2 linked regions of the Drosophila melanogaster genome follow. The protein of the gene in region 1 purifies or fractionates together with the protein of each later gene. This does not show direct contact. Each region holds a gene or a part of one and is shown in the gene's direction. Other genes may lie near its edges.

What was found.
Region 2: the proteins of Tet (region 1) and CG5746 purify together in Drosophila melanogaster (affinity purification with mass spectrometry, with the first as the bait; one large-scale study listed by BioGRID). This does not show direct contact.

What each region holds. Positions count from the first base shown.
Region 1 is NT_037436.4:2,876,131-2,880,943, reverse strand, and holds the start of Tet (Ten-Eleven translocation (TET) family protein), read left to right. Parts: upstream 1-1,785; 5' UTR 1,786-2,411; intron 2,412-4,813. UniProt on the Drosophila melanogaster protein: Dioxygenase that specifically demethylates DNA methylated on the 6th position of adenine (N(6)-methyladenosine) DNA.
Region 2 is NT_033777.3:24,345,260-24,350,652, reverse strand, and holds CG5746 (uncharacterized protein), read left to right. Parts: upstream 1-1,861; 5' UTR 1,862-1,991; exon of another isoform or gene 1,992-2,089; 5' UTR 2,090-2,178; coding exon 2,179-2,506; intron 2,507-2,572; coding exon 2,573-3,248; intron 3,249-3,353; coding exon 3,354-3,572; intron 3,573-3,666; coding exon 3,667-3,836; intron 3,837-3,892; coding exon 3,893-3,942; 3' UTR 3,943-4,861; downstream 4,862-5,393. Other genes in the region: CG6454 (uncharacterized protein), read right to left, coding at 418-763, 826-1,127, 1,182-1,345.

The sequences.
Region 1 (4,813 bases):
TTCTATTCATGTTCTGTGCGCACATTTCATTCATTTTTCAAATACTTCTGCAGCACCAACTGTCAGATACATTTCTGGTTTCCTTTGCCGCACGTCTTTTTATTGTGGCTGCTTGCAGTGTGAATGTCCTTTGCTGTCCTCACAAAGGACACGCAAAAGCCAAATAAGAGCGAAAAAAGTAGAAAAAAACGCAAAGAGCGGAATGCAGAAGAACGAAGAGAGACTTGCAGCAGCTTCGAGTGCAGAAAACCCAACTATGAAGAACTTGTCTGCGGATCGTGAACTTAAGAACTATCTAAGAGGAGAAAAGGCCGGCTGCATTTTGTTGTTTGTGCAGATGTTTCTTCGAGGTTCCTCGAGGGATTTTATGGGTATGCGTTGCGTATGGGACAGGTCAGTGTTCGGAGGATTCGGATTCAGATTGAGATTCGGTTCCGGAGGATTCGAAGTCGGTTAAGGGTTGTGCCCCTAGGTTGAATGATTTTCCATTACGCAATGCAAATAGACAGCAGCGTTCCGCGTACTCGCTTTGTTTTGTTATTTTCTCTGTCAGCGCCAGGCAACAATGCAACTGTCAAGGTTTCCATTTTCCGCCGTGGATTGCTCTCTATGAAATGGCGAAAAAATGGCAGCTCCACTAATAGTTGGCATGAAACGAGGTTGCAACAGGACCGCCACGAGAAAAAAGTGAAATGAAATCAACCGCCCCCGCTCTTTGCGCAAAAGTAAAAAAGGGGCAAAACATGGCAGGCAAATTGTACCAAAATCCCGCAACGGCAGCCAGTGCAATGCCAGGATATATGGCACATGCCCACAAGGTCCTGCCTCCGTGTCCTGCGTCCAGCGCAGCAGTGGCAGCAACAGCACCGCAGCAACGTCCACGGCACCGCAGCAACAGCAGCGGGAAAGTAAAACTTATTCGGCTGGTCGAACTGCGAATGCCCTGAATTTCGAAACACATTTTGCGAGCTTATCTATTCTGATAAAATTGTAAATAAATCAATAAACTATACGCCAATTACCATATAATGCATGCTTGAATTCAATGTGCTTAATTGCTAAGTAAGCTAAGTAAGCTCCTTGGTTAGGGTATCAAAACAAAGGCAGCAGAAAATATCTCGTAGCGCACATAGATTGCAAGTTCGCATTGTGAGCGCGAAACTAGGGAAAAAAATTTTTAATTGGAACAACAACTGTACAGCGGCGCAGCAGCAGCAACAACAACAAAAGCGCACTTCAAACGCCGCATGTTCGTATCCGTGTCTTGTTGCAGCTGTGTGTGTGTGTGTGTGTGCTTGTGTGTTAATGAAAGAGAGAGGATGCAGCCGTAAATGTAACTGTGTGCGTGCGGCTGTGTGTTTGTGTGTGTGTGCCAGGACTCTCGAGCCAAAAGTTGCAGGCGCAACAGCAACAAGCAGCAGTTCGAAGTTAAATATTTAAGAATTTACAAAACTTTTTAGGGAACATAAAAATAAATACAAATTTCAAAACGAAAGAATCTTGCTCTTCATCTTTTAATGATGGTCAAACTGAAAAATAATATATTTTACGAATGACTAATAAGCACAAAAATAAATTAAAAATCATTTCTTAAAAATGCTTAAGTATTGAATGAATTATACAATATAAAACCGCTAGTTAAGAGAATTCGGTCGTCATGCTTGTTGTATTCTTAAGTTCGAGTGGAGCCCGCATTGGTTCGATGCGAACATGAACCTGTTCGCTTCGAGCACGAACTTGTTCGATACATTTTATGTTTGCTCCTTCATTTTCATTTTCATTTTCAGTTCAGTTAGTTCAGTTGTTGTGTATCCTTCGGGTGAAAAGTTTCCTACAAAACACGGACTTTTGCACCGCCGCCGCCGTTCGAGCGCTAGAAACGAGTGCGAGTGCGTGTGAGACTTACTAGCTAACTAACTGATTCTGATTCTGATTTTCGGGAATATACTATCCCTTCGGTGTGGGTGTGATCGAGTTCAAGGACTCGCGACTAACTTGTTCCAGTTTCGAAAACAGGCAGCCCCAAATAATGTGACCAATGTGACCAGTGAATTAGAATATCCAAGAGCAAAACAAAATCAAGAACTCCCGCAGATGCCGCACTTGCAGCTCCAAGTTCTTCAGCTTTTCATCCAAGTCCCGGTTTAATTTGCAGCTCCAGTTTCGCGCTCGGTTCTCTGGGTTTCCCTGCAATTTCCGCGATTTCCTTCTTTTGTTCCCTTCGTTCCGTTTTCGCGTCGCGGTTTGTTATTGTCAACTTTCGTTTTCGTGCGGTTTTTCGCGGCTTTTCTAACGGTCCAACGACGGTCGGCAAATGGATAGTGAAACTGGCTTGGATTTCCAATAGCTTCTAAGTACTCAACATTTTCCGAGGAAAAAAACTCGTGAAAGGACATGGATTAACAACTAAGGTTTGTAGTAGGGATTTAACAATATACATATATTTAAGTATATATAAATCGGGATGCTTTATGTATACCTTTTATCTATATATAACTATTCTGCGTATATAATCATTTTATTTGTGGTACCAAAGAAAATTAAATAAATGGTTTTTTTTTTTCATTAATTAAGCATAGCCATCAAACAAAAAGACAAATAGCCGCATACAGAACATAACTAACTCTTTGAAAACGAATCGTAAGGAACGTTTCCAAGAAACCAAACAGAATGGCCATATCCCTTTCATAAAACCGACTCCAATTAATAAAGCCAATTGAGCAAATGTATAAAAATGTTGAGCTCCAATCAAATATAAAACTCTACGCTTTTGTTCCTAATCCCTCAATTAAACTCACCTCTCGACCGAAAGCCAAAGAAAAACAAATTTCCAATTGAAATTTGCATTTGGGGCACAGGAAATACTTTCCAAGCGTAAACATGTAAACAAAGAGATAACAATTGTTATTGGTCATCCGAGGATCAAATTACAATAAGTGCAAGCTCAAAGAAGACCCAAAAAACAAAATCACAATCACCTAAGCAGGCAATTTCAGCGAGCTTTATTTGTGCAAGACAAATAAACAAAATAAAATAATAATATTACAGTAAAGGCAGAGGCTTCTCTTTTTGGACCGCAAACACTTATGGCAATGAGTAATGACTTTTAAAAGAAGAACTGTTTCTGATAGATACATTTTGCGTTTGTCTTAGCGCCAACTTAAATTAAAAAGCAGCGGGCTCTGAACTTCTTCTGGTTGTGAAGAGTTGAGCCGAGGCCCTGAAAACGTGCCAGAAAGCGACACACAGAGATACAAAGATACAGATACTCGTAACTAACAGTAACGTGCGTACATCTTCAAGATACTTTTTGGCGCGCTCAGAACAGAAGCGCCGAAAACAGAAAATAAAACAAGGAGAGTACATGGGAACGAGAAGCACAACAGAAAGCGAAAAGCTAAGAACACAGAAGGAGATACTTGTGCTCCTACAAGATACAGCTACAGATACAGATACATGGCAATAAAGAGAATTTAAAGAAAGATAAATAATAAAACCAAACAAATTGAGGCGCAGGCCGCGAAAGAAGTTCAAGTTCAGCGAATGTATCTCCGTGCCAGTATCTGTATCTGTTGGATGCAATTTGTCGGCCGCCTGCAAGTTTATTACCGTCTTACCCCCAATGAATCTATATATAGCTGCCATATTTTGTTTACAATTTTCCGCCGCCCACGATTCATTCATAAAACACATCAGCCCAAAATAAAAGTTGGCAAAAGGACACGCAGGCAAATTAAGGCTTTGACCTAGAGAAAAATAAACAACACCCAGGATATAACCCCTGCCCCCGTCCTCCCCCCCTCCACACACTCGTTAACAGTAACGTGCGTGACTTTGAAAGCAGGCAAGGCAAATGACAAACTCGTAAATCTCAACACACTCACGGGAAGTGGGTGGTGCGTTTTTTTTTTTGGGATGTGGGTGAAAATGCGAGGCATAAGTGCCCCTACTCCCATTCATATACGCTTAATACTCAGCCGCGTATGCCTGTCCATGGACTCCTTGCATGGCTTCATTGGGCCCCACAGCACGTTTCATTTCATCCACACCTGCACCGCCGCACCACTCCGCGCACAACCCATCCCCACACCCAAACACCCAAACACCAATACCGCCAAGCTTCGGCACAACTCAATTTGCACGTGACACAACGAGGAACGAGATGTGGAGCAGGCACTGCCAGGCGAATTAACTCGCGTCAGGAATTTAAAGAAAATATCTTTCAGATACTATATATATTTTTAAGCATTCAAGTTCTAAGCTAGAACGAAAAAATGTTATATGAGAGCTTGAAATTAAGTTTTCGTATTAATATTCGCCATCATTTATAATATTGTAATAACTTGCCTTTAAGAAATTCAAACAGAGAACCGACAGAGAATAGTCGCTTAACTAAAAACAATTTTATTGCATTTGATGGCTTGATAAACAGCTTTCACTAAATTGCCTGCGTTCCATAGTATTTGTCTTGACTTTCAAGCTACCTTCCGCACAATATAAACTCGATTAAGTACATCCACCACCTTCGCAAGGAATGCAATTTCAGCCGTCTAGTTCGTATCATTAACATAAAATGAAATAATTTCCCCACCCATTTGCCAGTTTGTGGGGCTTCTTGAAATGCTACCCGGCCGAAATGATGCACCCCACCGAAAGTGGAATGGAATTTTATTCATTAACTTGCTGCGCTGCACATTTGGCAATTGTATAACATGCATAAATATGCAAACTTATTATGGCCCGAAAAATAGTTTCGCAATAGCGCAGTGCTGGGGAAAAATGTTAATAAATATTTAGCCCAACTGCTTTTGAA
Region 2 (5,393 bases), on another chromosome or scaffold:
ACGATTGGAACGTGCAATACGATACGACAAGGAGCGAAAGTTAAGATATTGAGGGATGAACATCGTCGCAGAGATTTCGGTGTGGGGAAGAACGTTCAAAAGAAGAAAAAATTCGCTTTAGAAAATATTTAAGTTCGTTTTCTACTAGCACCTACTTTCAGCTACGGATGCTAAACAAATTGTTTGTACAATCAAGGGTAGGTTGGCTTCGGGAACCGAAGTTTCAAATACTTTTGCAGCCTGATAAGAAAAAATTGTACTAGCACAGACATGGATATAGATATTGTTAATAGACTTATGTAATCATGTAATCGGACAGCTAAAATATGACAATTGCTTTGCAAGAGTATAGTAAATAGCAAAAGAATTAATAAGTTATGAGTAATCAGACAGCGACTAGTGCCACCAAATACTCACTCTTCGATCAGTGCCACATCCGCACTATTTGGTTGGCTTGTGCTGGTGTCCTTGATCAGCGTCACAGCCGTTCCAATGCCTCGGGCTACCACACCCACGTCGCCCTCCAAATCGAAGCACTGGGTATAGCCGATGACTGCATTAGCACCCATATTAATAGCCTTTAGGCCCATTCTCCTCTGCACCTGACCCGACAACTTGAGAAACACCACCTGGCGAGCCTCGTTGGAAGCACGCGGTGTGCGTATTTTGTCGATCCACTGATACTCCGGATCGTCATTCACCACCAATTCCTCGACAAAGCCATGAATCACTTGGGCGCGGTAGCCAAATGGCACACACTGAGCTGTTGGAGATAAAAGGATAATTAATAGACCATTTCTTTAGAGAATATTTGTCTGCTTATACAGTGAAAGAAGGGGATGCCGCAGGAGCTCTGACGGAACTTGTTGACGTCCGAGAACAGGTCAACCTTCACAATCACATTGATCTCGCCGCGAATACCGTGCATAGTGTCGAAAACAGGAATCCAGCCGGATAACACGGTACCCTTGCCGTGCACCGCTTGACTAGAGCTCTCCAGGCACAGAGGATTCAAACTGATGTTGACCTTTCCAATCGCATCGTTCGCAGAGTACGTGTCGTAGTCCATCAGGCGGATTTGCAGGGGCTCATCCTGGAGCTCAGCGTCGTCCACCTCAAAACGGAACCTATCAGAAAGCAAATGTTACAATATATGGAGCTATTGAATGGTCAGACCTCACCAATCGGTATTCCAGGTGGGATTCAAACTCTTGCGGAAGACATCCGTCTTGTGGGTCACCGAGGCCAGTTTGATCTCCACGAAGGCGTCCGTGGTTTCGCTGCTTTTGTCCATCACGGGCAGGTTGCGCGCCGCCTTAATCTTCACCCCCACCTTGCCCGGCATCCTGTCGCACTCGCCTGTCGTCCCTTTTCACCAGATACCAGATTGTGACCACCGAATTTCGACCAAAGGGTTCACGTTTTATCTTGTGTTTTCCATTTTTCCCAGTGCCAAGTGTGGCCGTGGTCCGTGAATTGCAAATTACCTACAGATTAGTTACTTGTGCTGGGACTGCTCAATGTTTTAATTTGCTTTTTTGAATGAGAGTGGAGCAGTTTCTTAAATCATTAAGCAATAATCATCTTAAGTGTTTCCATCAATTCTAAACTAACTACTAGCGATCACCATTCCAACTAAAATTTGCTTAAACTCATTCCCTCCGGAGTTTGAATATATCTTTAATGCATGTTTATGGACTAGACTCTATTTGTTTGAACTATAAATTAATTCATTACGTATTAACCTGTTTTGTATATTAACTCTTGGAAAATTATAATAACAAGTTTTCATAGCTATATTGTCGCTGAAGGATGACAACACTGGCGCAAAAGAGCGACGAGTGGGCAGCGCTGCAACAAAAATCAATAGTCGCCGCCATATTTTTTCACTGAATGAAGACCAACGCGCTTCGCACACCGAATAATGTTAAGTTAAATAAGTTATTTAAGATAAGCTACTGTTGAAAGTGCGCCGAGTGACCAAGTGACCAGTAAGCATCAATAGAAACGATTAGTCGCTAGCAATAGTTCCTCGAATCGTCAATCTGCGGCATCCTAACGCTGCTTCTTCTTCTTCCTCCGGCTTCAGCAGTCTTAAAATCCGCGTCCGAGTGCGAAGAATACCAGTGCAAGTGGTAGTGCGTGTGATCTAGTGTACGAGAACAGCGAGAGAGGAGCATGGAAGGAGGCTCAGTGTCCTCGCCATCGATGGGCGGTCCACGTGGAGGCGGTTTCCGTGGACGGGGCGGTGGAGCGCCTATGCGCGGTGGCTTCGATCGCGGACGTGGTCGTGGCGGTCGTGGACACTTTATGGGTGGCATGCGCGGAGGCGGCGGCAGCGGAATGGGCGGAGGACCGCCCATGCAGGGCATGATGTCGGGTCCTCCGAGGGGAATGCGTGGATCCCGTGGTGGAATGGGCTATCAGGGACGCGGCGGCGGTTATCAGCCGCGTGGTGGCGCTCCCATGGGCATGCGGGGCGGTCGCCCACCTTTGTACTCGCAGCGTAAGTTTCCGCAGACAACCCTCGACTTCCTGCCATACCTTGTAAATCCAATCCAATCCAATTTAGCTCCCAAACAACACACAGGTGCCGAGAACAACAAGACCGTATCACCAGTGCCCACCTCGGCGATCAGTGGAGAACAGCCAGCGGTTGAAGCAGCCGGTGATGAGGTCACCGATGGCCAGACATCAGCGGTCGTCCCGTCTTCGGGCAACTCGCATGGCGGCAGTTCCGCTCCTGGGGGCAGCAACGGAGGAGGACCTCCTCCATATCTGGGCCGTGGACGTGGACGTGGTGGTCCCTTCAGTGGACGTGGACGTGGTGGCGGCGGCTACAATTCGCACATGAACGGCAGTGGAGGCGGCAGCATGTACGGTGGCTCCCACAGCCACCACGGCAATTCCATGGGCGGCGGTCCGGGCAGCGAGCACGGTTCGATGCCCAGGCGCGGAGGTCCTCGGGGCAGGGGCGGCTACAATCAAGGTATGAGTCGGCCACCCTTGCATCACCATCAGGCACATAATCCCAATACACAACTTGCACCGGTACCAGCTCTCAAACGCGGCGCTCCCGGTGGTCCTGGTCCCAAACGCGGTCGCTACGAGGGCGGTCCATATGGCCAACGGCCCATGACGCCCAAGTACCATTCAACACAGCAGCATATGGGTGGTGGAGGAGGCGGCGGCATGTCTTCGCAGTCCTCTTATGGCTCGCCGCCAAGTCACCATGCGCCACAACAAAGGTAAGGCATCGAATTTTCAAATATTATATAATCAAATCAATATAGTGCACACTTTCTAAATCTGCAAAAATAATTGGTACATTTTTTGACGCTGTTCTTTATCAGCCATCACAGCTATCAGACACACGAGCAGACCCAACAAGTGGACCCCTACGCGCAGAGCGGTTACAGCACCCAGACCACCCAGCAGGGATACAATGGCTATGGCCAGAGCGGTAGCAGCAGCTATGCGGCTCACACATCGCAGACAAGTGCTCCGGCGAGCAGCAGCTACGGAGCCCACCACAGCACCGAATACGATCAGAGCCAGTATCAGAACTACAAGTGGGTTACCTAATCTTGACGTCTCTCTCTCTACGTTTCTTGCCTTCAATTGGGCCACGCAAGTGCTAATGTATTGCTTTGTGCTTCCAAACAGCTCGACGGGCTATGCCGCACCGCAGGATACACGGTATCAGTCGTACAGCCAGGACTACAGCCAACAGTATGGCTCGACTGCAGTGGACTACAATGCTACCGGACAAGCGGACTACAGCCAGCACGGAGCGCAAAGCACTGGCTACGATGAGCGTGCCTACGCGGGTTATGGTAGGTTATTTCAGTTCCCTCCAGTTGCATCATCCGTCATCGGTGTCTTCTTTCAGATTCGCAGGCGTACTCGCAGAACTATTCAAATGCAGCCGCCTACTACTAAACAACCACTTCCCACTCCCACCCCTGACGGCACACTAGAGAACAGAACGCTGCGCGTGCTTCGATAGGCCAAAAAACCAAATAAGAAGGGACTAGGGCAGAGTAACATGGAAGGGAATATATGTTTAATGCAACAATTAACTTGCTATACATAACACGCAAACACACACATACGCGGTCACTCAAAGCATACAATTTTAGTTTTAAGTATAAAGTTCTCTTTTTCTTAGCATTTAAGCAAACTAGTGTTTCGACGTCTTTCTACATAAACCCCCACCCCAAATTAACATCCCCCTTTGTTTCCGTTTCGTCTCCCCATGAGTACTGAACAGATATATTGAAATAATCCGCCTTGCCTGTTGTTTAATGTTCTCTAAATAGACAAACGGAGCTAGACTGCACTGAGCTCCAGCCTAAGAAAATTAAATGTGCTCCTCCTTAGTTCCATTTACAATTACAAGTCAACTGTGACCAAAGTATGCTACAATCATATTTTTTATATGACGGAAAAATGAGAGTACGTAACATGATCTTTTGAATGAACTAAATTTAAACATTTTGTGAATCATGTAAAATTGTATACAAATGAATGCAATGTATATTTTAGTTTTTAAGCTGAAAACCGCAATCCACTCTCGACACAATTATTTTCTATCCCACATGCATCTGAAAGCGTTTATGATTTTGCAAGATTGTGTTTTTTTCTTTATGAATGACAAAAACGTGACAAAAGCGTGACTTATTACTTTTTTGTTTTACAAAAACCTCTTATAGTGACAATTTAAGCAAAAAAAAAAGTTCGTAATAATGTAACTCCTTAAATTTAAGCTGAAAAAAAAAACAAGTAACGAAATACACAAAGTATATTAGAAAAAGATGCAAAAACCATAACCATAATCAAAGTCAATAAAATAATGTTCAAAAATGTGTTTAATGCATTAAACTTATTTAAGCGTACATATTATTATTTAAAATATTTTGTTTAAAAGAAATCAATCAGTAAAACTGCAAATTATTAAGCAAAACAATCAATCAAAAGACGAATAATGAGTGAAAAATGTGAAAAAAAAACGTAAGACTGAATATATTCACGAACCGAAGCTGCACTGCAAGCATACAAGTCAAGAAAAATGAGAGACAAATGAATGAAATAACAGAGTTTTAAGTATTTACGAAACGATTACAACAAATACATAGAACAATTAATCGCCAAGCGATTATCAAAGTGCCAAGTATACCTGATCAACAAAACTCAGGATAAAAACTAAACGAAAATGCAATATACCGAATGCGTTATGAAAATTCAAGGACATCAGTCAATCAAATTTTTAAGATAGTGTCGCGAAAATATATTATCGAGAATTTTTACCATGATTGAGCTTACACGTACCATAACAATTCAATTAGATAAATATCTAAAATTACAAACTGAAAGCACTGAAAGTACAAAAT